3 linked regions of the Macaca mulatta genome follow. The protein of the gene in region 3 purifies or fractionates together with the protein of the main gene of each other region. This does not show direct contact. Links are inferred from orthologs where the notes say so. Each region holds a gene or a part of one and is shown on either strand. Other genes may lie near its edges.

Region 1 (3,564 bases), on a different chromosome or scaffold from region 3:
TACTAAAGCTTGGGGTCCACCACTAGCCAGTATGATCAGCTAGAAAGATATATACATATCTTGTTAGTCATGGAATCTTGATCACATGTCTGAGAAGAGCCATATTACCAACATATTTTATTATACAAGAATTTCAGCCAGCTTGTCATTGGACCTAAATGTATCCCTGGACCCCATCACTCTGACCCCCATACTGGGGCCCTATCCAACTTGTCCTTTTAAAGCATTCCACTCAAATTCAGACATCCCAGTCCTCCCAAGAATGTATCAGTTTTGGCCCAATTTCCTTCTTCCCATACTGATCATAGCAGAAGAAAAAAATTTAGAAACCATGTTGGCAGGCAAGATTAATGCCCTAAGATGAAAGTTATATCAAAACTGATTCACTGAAAATTTGAACCAGAACTGGCACTTAAAACTCCTTATCACTTGGCCCTTTAATTTTCCTAATTATATCCACCTTAAAAAGAGATACCATAAAATGATCATTCACTCTTGTCCTTTCATCCCCTGTGTATCTTCCCTTTCAACACTGCCCCAATTTTCTAAAAACAAATTTCATCATTTCATGCTTCTGCTGAAATTTCCCATTGTGCTTTTAAACATGCTGTACAAAGCCCTATGAGATCTGCTGAGTCTATCTCAATAGCCTCACCTCAAACCTTTCTTCCTCTTTACTGTTAGTATTTCTTAAATTCCCAAAACTTTCCATCTCCTTCCTTCGTTTCAAAGATGCTGTTTCTCACCTAACCTTCACCTAGTGAATCCCTTCTCATCCTTGAACACTGAACTCAACTATCACTTCCTCCAAGAGGTACCTCCTTGAACCCTCATAAAGAGTCTGTTTCACTTGTGTAATGTGCTCTCATAGCCCCCACTTCTTCCCACTACATGAATTAAATATTAGGTTATTATTCCCAACATCTACATCCCACCTAATTACAAAAGTGTGAAGAGAAGCTTGCCTATGATATCCCTATTACTTTGCATAGTGCTTTACATATGGAAACTCAAAAATTTAAAAGAACAGAAATGAACTGGGCTGCACAGCAGGAGGTAAGTGGCAGGTGAGCGAGCATTACCTGGCTTGAGCTCTACCTCCTGTCAGATCAACTGCAGCATGAGAACCTCATAGGAGCGGAAACCCTAGTGTGGACTGCACATGCGAGGGATCTAGGCTGCACGCTCCCTATGAGAATCTAATGCCTGACTATCTGAGGTGGAACAGTGTCATCCAGAAACCATTCCCACAACCCATTCATGGAAAAACTGTTTTCCACGAAACTGATCCCTGGTGCCAAAAAGGTTAGGAACACTGCATGGAATGACATGACACTGGAAGTGTCCGATGCTCCATGAAAACCACATAAAGAAGAATTCTCTTACCTTGCTTTCTTGGTTGCCATATGCTAAAATTTGAAGGCAGTCTGTCGTAATAGCCAAGAATTTAACGTTTGTTTTGTTGAGCAAGGCAACCATTTTCTGTAGCCCGCCAGCTAAACGCACTGCCATTTTAGCTCCTTCTTGATGTAATAAAAGGTTGTGGAGAGTTGTAATGGCATAAAACAACACAGAATCCACTGGTGAACTGGGAAGAAGAAAAAAGCCTCATCAGAAATATTGTGACTATACTCTTCTACTTTTTAGCTTCAAGCATTCTGACAATGTTTTCTTACCCAAGCATTTTCACCAGGGCAGGAATGCCTCCAGACTTAAAGATGGCCAACAAGCCCTCCCGATGATGGGAAAGGTTATGCAAGGTCCCAGCGGTACAACGAGCTGTTTCTACATCATTTGTATTCTGCATGGTACGTACAATAGCAGACACCATCTGAGGAGAACGCATGATAGCGTGTCTGGAAGCTTCCTTTTTAGAAAGCTGATGGACCATAACTGCAGCCTTATTAACCACCACCTATAATACAAGAATCAGAAACATCATTAGTTTTCAAGTCCTGGTAGTGGGTAGACATTCTGAACCTACTCCCCTTGAGCATTTACTTCAAAGCAGACTAAAAAGCTAGCCATGTCATTGCTCACCTGGTCCTCATCATTTAGCAGTTTTGTCAGTTCAGGGATTGCACGTGTGGCAAGTTCTGCATCATCTTGATAGTTAATCAAGTTTACAACTGCATGTTTCAGCATCTGTGATGGTTCAGCCAAACGCTGGACATTAGTGGGATGAGCAGCATCAAACTGTGTAGATGGGATCTGCATGCCCTCATCTAATGTCTCAGGGAACATAGCAGCTCGTACCCTCTGAGCTCGAGTCATTGCATACTGTCCATCAATATCTGGAAAAGGTTAATCAACACTCACTATCCACAGTTCAGCATTTACCTAAGTATTTGCTATCCTAAATGGTAAAAGTGACATTGCTATTACTCCCTTTTCTTCACCACAACATTTTATTTCAACTATTATATACTAACTTTTTAGTTCTCAAAACTGCATTCTGACTTTCAGTAAGGCAATGAAAAATACTCTTACCAGCTACTTGTTCTTGAGTGAAGGACTGAGAAAATCCCTGTTCCCACTCATACAGGACTTGGGAGGTATCCACATCCTCTTCCTCAGGATTGCCTTTACCACTCAGAGAAGGAGCTGTGGTAGTGGCACCAGAATGGATTCCAGAGTCCAGGTAAGACTGTTGCTGCCAGTGACTAACAGCCGCTTTTCTGTCTGGTTCCATGGCCATGTCCAACTCCATCAAATCAGCTATAAATATGAAATAGTATTAGCATTAGTAGATTGGAAATGTTACTTCAATTAAAAAAAAAAAAAGAATCTGTGATATGACCCATTGAAATATTTTTAGAAATAAAGTCAAATCTGAAAGACAGCCAAGAAAAGCAGAATGATAGCCAGGGTTAGCTCAGTGATGAAATACCTAATCCCTTAGGGGACCACCTAACAGTTACTCACTGAATCAGTGGAAGAATGGTACTGCATCCAGGCTCCAGAAGCAGTCATCCAGACTAGATTCCTGCTGGTGGCTTGTTTGCTATTTCACCAAGCCATTAGGAGGAGTGAGCAGAAAATGGAGCAAAAGGTAGCCTGACAAGTAAGCAGGGAGAGAGGAAAGCAGGGGAATCTCAGCCAGACTGGCTTAATGGCAACGAAGCAGAGCCCCAATTCAGTAACTAAAGATTTATGACACAAACCTTGAGTAGCCATTGTCCACGCTGGATTTTCAAAACAGTTGTATGGTATACTTCAAATACCCTAAAAAAAGTTAATCAAAAGTCATTAGGATTTAAATTTAGCTTGATTAATACTCCTAAGTCACTGGGATGTCTGTTAAATGTCACTATTACACCCACAAAAAAAAACCCCATATCCTCTTTTACCAGGTTATTTGGTGAAACACAAGACCTCATGGTCTCCTCCAGACACCTCAACCACAGCTCCATCACTGCTGAACTTCAGTGAAAACTCCTCCTTACCAAATACATCTTTTTATTAATAGTAGAAATATAAATTACAGATAATCAGGATGGTGATGAGAAAGCAAAGAGTTGTAATAATAAAAGCCAGGGAGGGGAAAACACTATTCAAAAATCA
Region 2 (3,564 bases), on a different chromosome or scaffold from region 3:
GAGCCTTAGGCAGGAACATTTGGAAAAGGCCTTCCCCACTGGTCCCTGCCTACCACTTGAGGGTTGAATAATTATCTGCAGCAATTTTAATAAATATTAGTTATGAATAATAACCATCTTCCCAATATGCCTAGGAATGGGGCGACTCTGGGCTGCTCCGGGTGGGAACCATAAGGGTCTGTGCTGTCTCTGAGCACCGTCTCTTCTGTTTCCCAGGATCCTGCAGGCCCAGGTGCCGCCTGTGTTCCTCCAACAGCAGCAACAGTACCAGTACCTGCAGCAACCCCAGGAGCACCCCCCTCCCCCACATCCAGCTGCTCTTGGCCATGGCCCCCTGAGCTCCCTCAACCCACCTGCTGTGGAGGGGCCAGTGAGTGCCCAGGCCTCCTCAGCCACCTCGGGCAGTGCCCACCTGGCCCAGATGGAGGCCATGCTGAGGGAGAATGCCAGGCTGCAGAGGGACAATGAGCGGCTGCAGAGGGAGCTGGAGAGCTCTGCAGAGAAGGCCGGCCGTATTGAGAAGGTAGGCCCTGCTGGGGTTTCAGAGGGGCAGACCAGAAAGAGACCCCGAGGGGCTACCTGGGGAGTGGGTAGTCCAAGGAGAGGCAGAGGAGCCTGAAAACTGTTTGGCTTGATTTCCCCCATCCCTCTGTTCTCCACCTCCCTCACCCCTCATGCACCCTCCTGAGCTGACTCCAGACAGCTGGGGAACAGCCGAGAGGCCGGCAGAGCAGGCCTGGAGCATGAGCAGTTGCTGGCCAGTGGTGATTAGAAAGAGCCCATTCACCAGCTCCTTGCACACTCGCACCCTTGCCCTGCACACACCCCCTCTCATGGACACCTCCCACAGAGAGCCCTTTGTGTCCCCCACACAACAGCAAGTCTGTTCCAGGCCAGCCCTGGCGAAAAAGAAAACTTCTCCTCTTGGAAAGACTTGTTGGAATCACAGGCCAGCTAAGAGCACGTGCGGAACCTGCCAGCAGCCAAGTGGGAGGAGCAGCCGGGGCCCAGCTGGCCCTCTGGGTGGACGGTGATGCCTGGGGGACCAGGCAGAGGTGGCTCAGGCTTAGACCTGGTGCCTGCTTCTTTAGTGAAGGATTACCAGTTTTCTGCTGAGGCTCAGTTTTAGCAGATGGCCTCAGGCCTCCCTTGACTGTCCTGTGGTGTCCAAGTTAGGTCCAACCACCCCGACATGGCTGTAGTCTTTTGGTGCCCACTTCTGGCCAACCGTACTCAGTTTCTTGGTGGAAGCCAGCCAAAAGTAGAATGTTTCCTTCTGGACACTGGGCACAGGGAAGCTATGTTTAGTCACCCTGCAGGCAGCTACTTCCAAAGTACCTGGCCCTAGGGTCACTCAGCATCTGGTCCTTGGGGCAGCCGATGGACCGTTGCTTGCTGGTCCCAGCAGTCCAGTCTACTTCTGGAGGCTACAAGCTTCTGATCATCCCGCCATAGTCATCCCACCAAAACCTGGAGGTTTTGCTCCTGCTTGGTGTCCTCTCATCTGTCACCTTTTCTGATGGAGAGTAGTGGGTCAGCCTGGAATCACTCCCTAGGAGCTCTCACCTTCCTTCAGCTCTGCTGTCTGCCTCTTGCAGCTGGAAAGCGAAATCCAGCGGCTCTCTGAGGCCCATGAGAGCCTGACCAGAGCCTCCTCCAAGCGTGAGGCCCTGGAGAAGACCATGAGGAACAAGATGGACAGTGAAATGAGGAGGCTGCAAGACTTCAACCGGGATCTTAGAGGTGAGAGCCAGTCACACAGGTGGAGGTTGGAGAGCCTCTGCAGAGGGCTTACTTCCTCTGTTCTAGAGAAAAATTGGGAATCTATTACCTGCTAAAAGTGCAGATGAACTCAGAGAGCCAGGCTGAGACCCTCGGGAGCTGCCCTGATAGAGAGATGCTTGTCTCTATGTACTGGGTCTCGGATCCCTTCAGGGAGCTCCCATCGTGGGGCCCGGATGATGGCTTCTGACAGAGGAGGCTCCCTCCCATCGGGCCCTGAGCTGAGCCGGGGTTTCCTCATGGCCCATCCCCAATGTGGAGGATGCAGCCCCGTCTTGATAGGATGTCAGGAAAAATCCCAAGCTGGCAGCTTCACCTGACACTAAAACATCTTTCCTTCCCTTGAAACAGAGAGATTGGAATCTGCAAACCGCCGCCTGGCAAGCAAGACACAGGAGGCCCAGGCCGGCAGTCAGGACATGGTGGCCAAGCTGCTTGCTCAGAGTGAGTAGGGGCCTCACTAAGAATCCTGGCCTGTGTGCAGGCAATGGGACTGCTGCACACCCTCTGGACCAGGAAGATTGGCCTTCCCCCTTGCAAAGCAGTACTTTAGGAGCAGGTTTACTGCCTACTGTGTGCCCAACACTAGACTGGATCTGGGGATGGTGGGGAGAAGTGGCTTCCAAAGAAGAATAGGATCTAGTTGTGTATCTATTAAGAAGATCAGTTGACACTAGAGGGAAAGCCAGGGAGCAGTGATTTGCTGAGCTTCCGTGCTGACCATCAGTGCAGTGCATTGGGCAGTGTGGGAGGCAAGGTAACGCGGAACACAGGTGAGGTGAAGAAGGAAAGGTCGTCTGAGAGCTTCCCAGGGAGTTCCAGGCAGCAGAAAGGTCAGGAGTGTGCAACGGGAATGTGAGAGGCAGGGGGCATGATGGAACTGGGCCATAGCAAGCTAAGTGGAGGCACTTGAGACAGCCAAAAATGGGATCCTAGACCTTAACCAACAGATGCATTCTAAAGGGGGTGGTCTAAGCATCTTTGAAGAATGGGCAAGTTCATTGACTAGTCCATTCATGAATTAGCAGATGTGTTTTGAGCATCTGGCAGATGTTCAGGTGAGAATGGGAGCAGGCCCCGGAAGGTACCATGGCAGGGAGGTCAGGAGAGAAGTGGTGAGCTTAAGAAAGGAGCAGGTTCCCACAGATTTAAAAGAACAAGGGGGGTGGTCCTAGAAACTGGTGATTAGGAGCCCCAGTGGCCTGAGAGAGAGGCTCCGTGGGGATGGCGGGGGTGGAGAGCCAGCCAGAGGTGAAGGAGTTATTGGGCCGTTCAAGAGGTACATGGGGTGGGTGGCAAAGGGAGCCTTGAGCTCAGCAGCAGGAGGCTCTAGCAATCAGAAGAGACTAACAACAGTTATTTATTGAGCTCCTACTAGGAGCTTTACTGCCGTTCAGGGTGTTTGCAGAGAAGTGGAATGGGAGTGGTTGGTAGCTGGGTAAACGTGGCTTTGAGGCTTCACAGGAACTCTACTATGAATGGCACCAACAGTAGTGTGGGGTGCAGAAATGGAGGAGCAGCTTGAGGACTTAGCTCTGGCTGGCAGCACCCCTATCTTCCTTCAAAGAGGGTTCAAAGACTAGGGCAGGGAATGGGGGAACACAGCACTGAAGGAATTGACAGGGTGGGGCAGGAGGTAGGCTGGTCTCTACTGGCTGGGTGGGGTGAGGTGGCAGCGGCTTAAGGTCTCTGGGAAGGAGTCAAAGGGAATGAGGGAGAAAGGGGATGGGGCAGCCCTGGGGTTTCCCTGAGGAGTCTGGGGAGGAGAAGCTGCAAGGGCAA
Region 3 (4,364 bases):
AACGCTGGAACGATAAAGTTTAAAGGGTTAAAGTTAGATGTATGACACAGCACATTAGTTTAAAAATTGAGAAAAAGAATGTTGACATTTTTTATATTTAATACATAATTCTTCAAGAATTTGAAGGCATTTGCTGAAACCAAAATGGCAGCCCAGCGAATTAGAAGACCAGCGAGATCTAAAGGAGAGTTTGTAGTCTCTATTTTTAAGTTCAAGTGTACTAACCAGCCAAGCTAGTCATGGTGAAGGAGTTACCTAAGGGTAATTAGCTCCGAGAGGGTTAAGTACCTGCTGGAAAGTTTCCTAATCAATGCACCCCAAATTATTCCCCTCAAAAGTGAAAGTATACATACGTTAGGTAGATTCAGGGACTCATGGGTTTCCAGGTAAAAGAGCGGCACACACACTTCTCTCGCCGAAAAATAAAGTATGAATAATCTATACCTACAACTTGCTTAAACTAAAAGACAATCTGAAACAATTATATACACCTGTAAACTACACCGTGTAAATTCAATTAACGTTATAACTATGGAACTTCCAAAAAATAACATGCTTAATTTAAGCAGGTTCTACTAGAAATTTTGCAAATTCTCGTGTAAGTTCTAGTCGCTACAGAAATCCACACAAATAATTGAAGAAGCCATCTATACACCTGCTCTATATAACTCTGTAACTTATTTCACAATGAATGAAAAATCAGCCATTTATCCAACCCTAAGCCTCACGTCACAAGAATCTGAAGATCTGATCACTAATAAACTCGCACATGCTAATATTTGCAGAAACAGTTAAAAATAGAAAGATAATAGGTCCAAGCTAGCTTGGAAGCGATTTCTGCACTCAAAAACCCCTTTCACGGCTTTGGCCCTCTGCAAATTAAGCGGGGTTAAGGAAGTGTAGGAGGCCGATAACCCAGCTCCGACTCCAGGAGCCCAGGGCCGGGGAGAAACTGCGGGTTATCGCGGGAGGGTGGGGGGAGGCGGACAAGTCGTCAGGCCTGATAGCCAGGCGTAGCCGAGGCCTAGCTCCCCGACTCCAAATCACTCCACCTCAGTAATGGCGTTTGGTGTCAAGTGGAACCAGACCGGGCAGGAAAGCGGCCGCCGGGCCGGGGGCGGCCAGCCCCCAAACCGACCCGGGCCCCGGGTGCGGACGGCGGGGGGGCTGCCCGCCACGCCCGGAGACTCCATCCTCCTACTCGGCCCCAGACAGGACGGGAAGGGGGAGGAGGGGGAGGGACGGAGCCGTCAGCCATTTTCCCTTACAGTCCAAAACACACAAGACACGCTCTCGGGACACCGGCTCCACACACAACACGGCCCCGCGCGCCCGCCCAGCCCGGGCCGGAGGAGGGGGAACGGGGAAGCCCCGGCCCGGCCGGCAGCCGCCGAGGGAAGAAGCTCACACACACGCACACCCCCCTCGCCCTCCTCCCCTCACCCACATCCAGCTGTTGGCCCCGGGAAGGCGCGTCGCCCCGGTGCAGCTGGCCACTCACCGCACGACACAGACGTCTTCTCAGAACCAGGGCACGTGGAGGCGGGAGGCAGCAGGCGACGCTGGGGCTCGGTCTCGGGACAAGACCTACCCTGGGTGCATCCCAGGCCCGTGGGTGACCGGCAACAAAGTGTATTGAAAGGCTGCGGCGGCCGGGCTCGGGGCTGAGGGCGTCTCAACCAAAAGGCTGCACACCCGGCGCCGGAACTCGCTTCTCGCCGCGCCCGCCTCCTCCTCCTCCTTGGCCGGCTACGGCCCTCTTCCCCCTTCTCCCCTCAGGCTGGGGCTCTCGCTGAGCTCAGACGGGCTCCGGGCGGTGCGTTTCTCCTGCGTCACCTCCTCCTGCTCCTCCTCCTGCAGCGACGGCTTCACCTTCCCCTAGTCGCCGCCTCTGTCCCCGTTCCGGGCCTGGTTGCTTTGCAACAGCTCTCTCCTAGCTCCCGGCGCCGACCCAAGCACCGGGCGCTAAGGCGGCCGCCTCCCGCGAGAGAGAGGCGGCGGCGGAGGGCTCCCGCGAGGCCCGGGAGCTGTGCAAGGCGGGGAGGGGCTCGGCGCGGCAGAGGCCCTGACGGGGCCGGGTGCGGAGAGGTTGCGGCTCCGGCGGCGGCGGAGACTAGCGTCCGCAGCCGCGGATGCCCGTCCTCGTCAATATGGCGGATCCGGCAAACCAAAAAAAAAAAAAAACCGCTCGGCCAGTGGCGGCGGCGGTAGCGGCGACGGCGGCGGCAGCAGCGGTGGCGGCGGCGGCGCAGACTCCCACTAGCCCCAGAGCCGCCCAAGACCCGAAGTTCTCCGCCCCCGTCAGACCCCGCCCCTCTCAGGCCCCTCCTTTCGGGCCTCCCCCTGCTCCTGCCCAGCCCCCTCCCGCTCAGCTGCCCCCTCTTCTCCCGCCTCCACCCCGGACCGTCAAGGCTGGGAGAGCAGCGCGAGCCGCCGAGGGGGCCGGGCTTGGGCGCGAGCCGCTGGGAACCCGGAGAGCTAGGGTGGGGGAGGGGAAGACAATGCGGTAAAGATTGTTCGCGCAGTACCGTTTCTTCCGGCTGGCCCCTTCAGGGTCGTGCTACCGCCAGAAATCCTGTTCCATGCCCCTCGGCTCAGGAGCGGGACGAGGGCAGAGGTGGCTCTAGGACCGAAGTTGGGGAAGGGAGGCCCGAAAAGATCTGGCACACCACGCCGGAGGGGCTGGGCGGCAGGGACTGGCGGGGTGTGCGGTCACGACGGGGTTAATCGCGTGAGCCGCAGCCGCGTCGCTCATAGTTTGACTCTGGCCGCTTGTTTTTGTTCCATTGTGAACCGTGGCCCCACCGACAAGAACCCGGATGATGACGTCACCGGCCTCCCCCTTTTCCGGGATCGTGGGGGGAGGGGCGCGGAAAGATGAGATCCCGAGACCACGCGCTGGGCTGTCGCCGCCGCGGTGCCTGGAGGTCCCGGCGGCGCAGCTGACCCGCGTCACGTGACGCACGAGCTGGCCGGGCCACTGGGCTGCGGGGGCGCGAGGTCCCGAGGGCCTGGCCACCTGCTTGGCGCCGATAGGGGGAAGGTGTGGCTATCTCCTGCAGCGGAAGGAGGGGGCGTGGGGAGTGAGGTCCTTTTCCCCACCCCGCGAGGGAGGTGCTCTGGGAAACACTTTCACACGATCGCGCAGCATCAGTACTTGAAAGCGTTTAGGCGTCCTCACAGCGTAACTGACGGGACTGACAACCTTGTTGGCTATAGGAGCCCTTCAAACAGACCAGGAAAGAAAAAAATTATAAAGTACCCCAGACGGCTTAGCGAATAGGCCGTACTTGATATGGCAAGATTAGCCTCCATTGCCAGATCATCAGCACGATTCGGTGTTAGAACCCGGAAGAAACTTATGAACCCATCCGCTGTGTCATGGACTATTTTCTACATGTTTATATTCCAAAGTGCAGGCGTAGGAAAAACTTAGGCTAATCTCAAATTAATGGGGTGCTTGGAACAATTCTATACAGTCTGCCTAGGATGCCCAAATGAAGAGGAAATTAACAGTTCCTAATTTACAGATTTCCTTTTGACTTAAAACTACCTGTGGACATCAAATGGCATGCAAAATCATAGTAAAACCTTACAAAACGAGATCTATTTTATAGAGAACAGGGTTGAATTTAGTTATGCTATGATTATATCAGTTTGTAATAAAAGACTGTTAAAAATGGAACCAAACTAATTTAGGTGACAGTGAAAGCAAGTTATTGGTATCTTAAATTTTTAAACCATTTCTCTATTTAGCACTAGATTGTTTACAAATTTTTCACCACAAAATTACCTAATAGGGTATCCAAGATACATCATTCATAGCCCTAATAACTCTTAGCATATGTTACCTTGTTTTTGTAATTATTTCCATGAATCATTTGCTTACCCACTAGCTCATGGGCTTCTAAAAAGTAGACACGACCACCCGTGTACACTGTAGGCTGTTATCTTCGATTTTAGATAAGGAAACAGAAAGGGTAAATGATTTGCCCAAGGTCAGGATTGGAAAGTGTTGAACACTGGTCTTTTAACCCTATCAAAAGTGCACCTTTAACAAGGATTGTCCCCTCTCACCAATTCTGTTCAATATTGTACTTGCAGTTCTAGCCTGAAAAAGAAATGAAAGACATCCAGATAAGAAAGGAACAATTAAACTATCGCTACTTTCACATAACATGATTTTATATATAGAAAATCTTGGGAAATCCACTATAAAAAAAACCTAATAAAGCCAATAAGCAAGTTCTGGAAACTGCAGGATATAAGATCAATATTTAAACATCAGTTATAGTTTTACACACTAGCAATAAACAATCTGAAAATTAAGTTAAAATTCCATTACAATAGCATCAAAATCAATA

The links.
Region 1: the proteins of USP9X (region 3) and CTNNB1 purify together in Homo sapiens (affinity purification with western blotting; 6 studies listed by BioGRID, with this or other methods). This does not show direct contact. The link is inferred for Macaca mulatta from reciprocal best matches to the Homo sapiens genes USP9X and CTNNB1.
Region 2: the proteins of USP9X (region 3) and AMOTL2 purify together in Homo sapiens (affinity purification with western blotting; 3 studies listed by BioGRID). This does not show direct contact. The link is inferred for Macaca mulatta from reciprocal best matches to the Homo sapiens genes USP9X and AMOTL2.

What each region holds. Positions count from the first base shown.
Region 1 is NC_133407.1:104,565,607-104,569,170, reverse strand, and holds part of CTNNB1 (catenin beta-1), read right to left. Parts: intron 3,226-3,564; 5' UTR 3,178-3,225; coding exon 3,165-3,177; intron 2,719-3,164; coding exon 2,491-2,718; intron 2,295-2,490; coding exon 2,041-2,294; intron 1,916-2,040; coding exon 1,677-1,915; intron 1,589-1,676; coding exon 1,387-1,588; intron 40-1,386; coding exon 1-39. UniProt on the Homo sapiens protein: Key downstream component of the canonical Wnt signaling pathway.
Region 2 is NC_133407.1:37,408,472-37,412,035, reverse strand, and holds part of AMOTL2 (angiomotin-like protein 2), read left to right. Parts: intron 1-161; exon of another isoform or gene 162-216; coding exon 217-523; intron 524-1,598; coding exon 1,599-1,743; intron 1,744-2,133; coding exon 2,134-2,226; intron 2,227-3,564. UniProt on the Homo sapiens protein: Regulates the translocation of phosphorylated SRC to peripheral cell-matrix adhesion sites. Required for proper architecture of actin filaments.
Region 3 is NC_133426.1:40,965,791-40,970,154, reverse strand, and holds the start of USP9X (ubiquitin carboxyl-terminal hydrolase 9X), read right to left. Parts: upstream 2,810-4,364; 5' UTR 2,529-2,809; intron 2,169-2,528; exon of another isoform or gene 1,502-2,168; intron 1-1,501.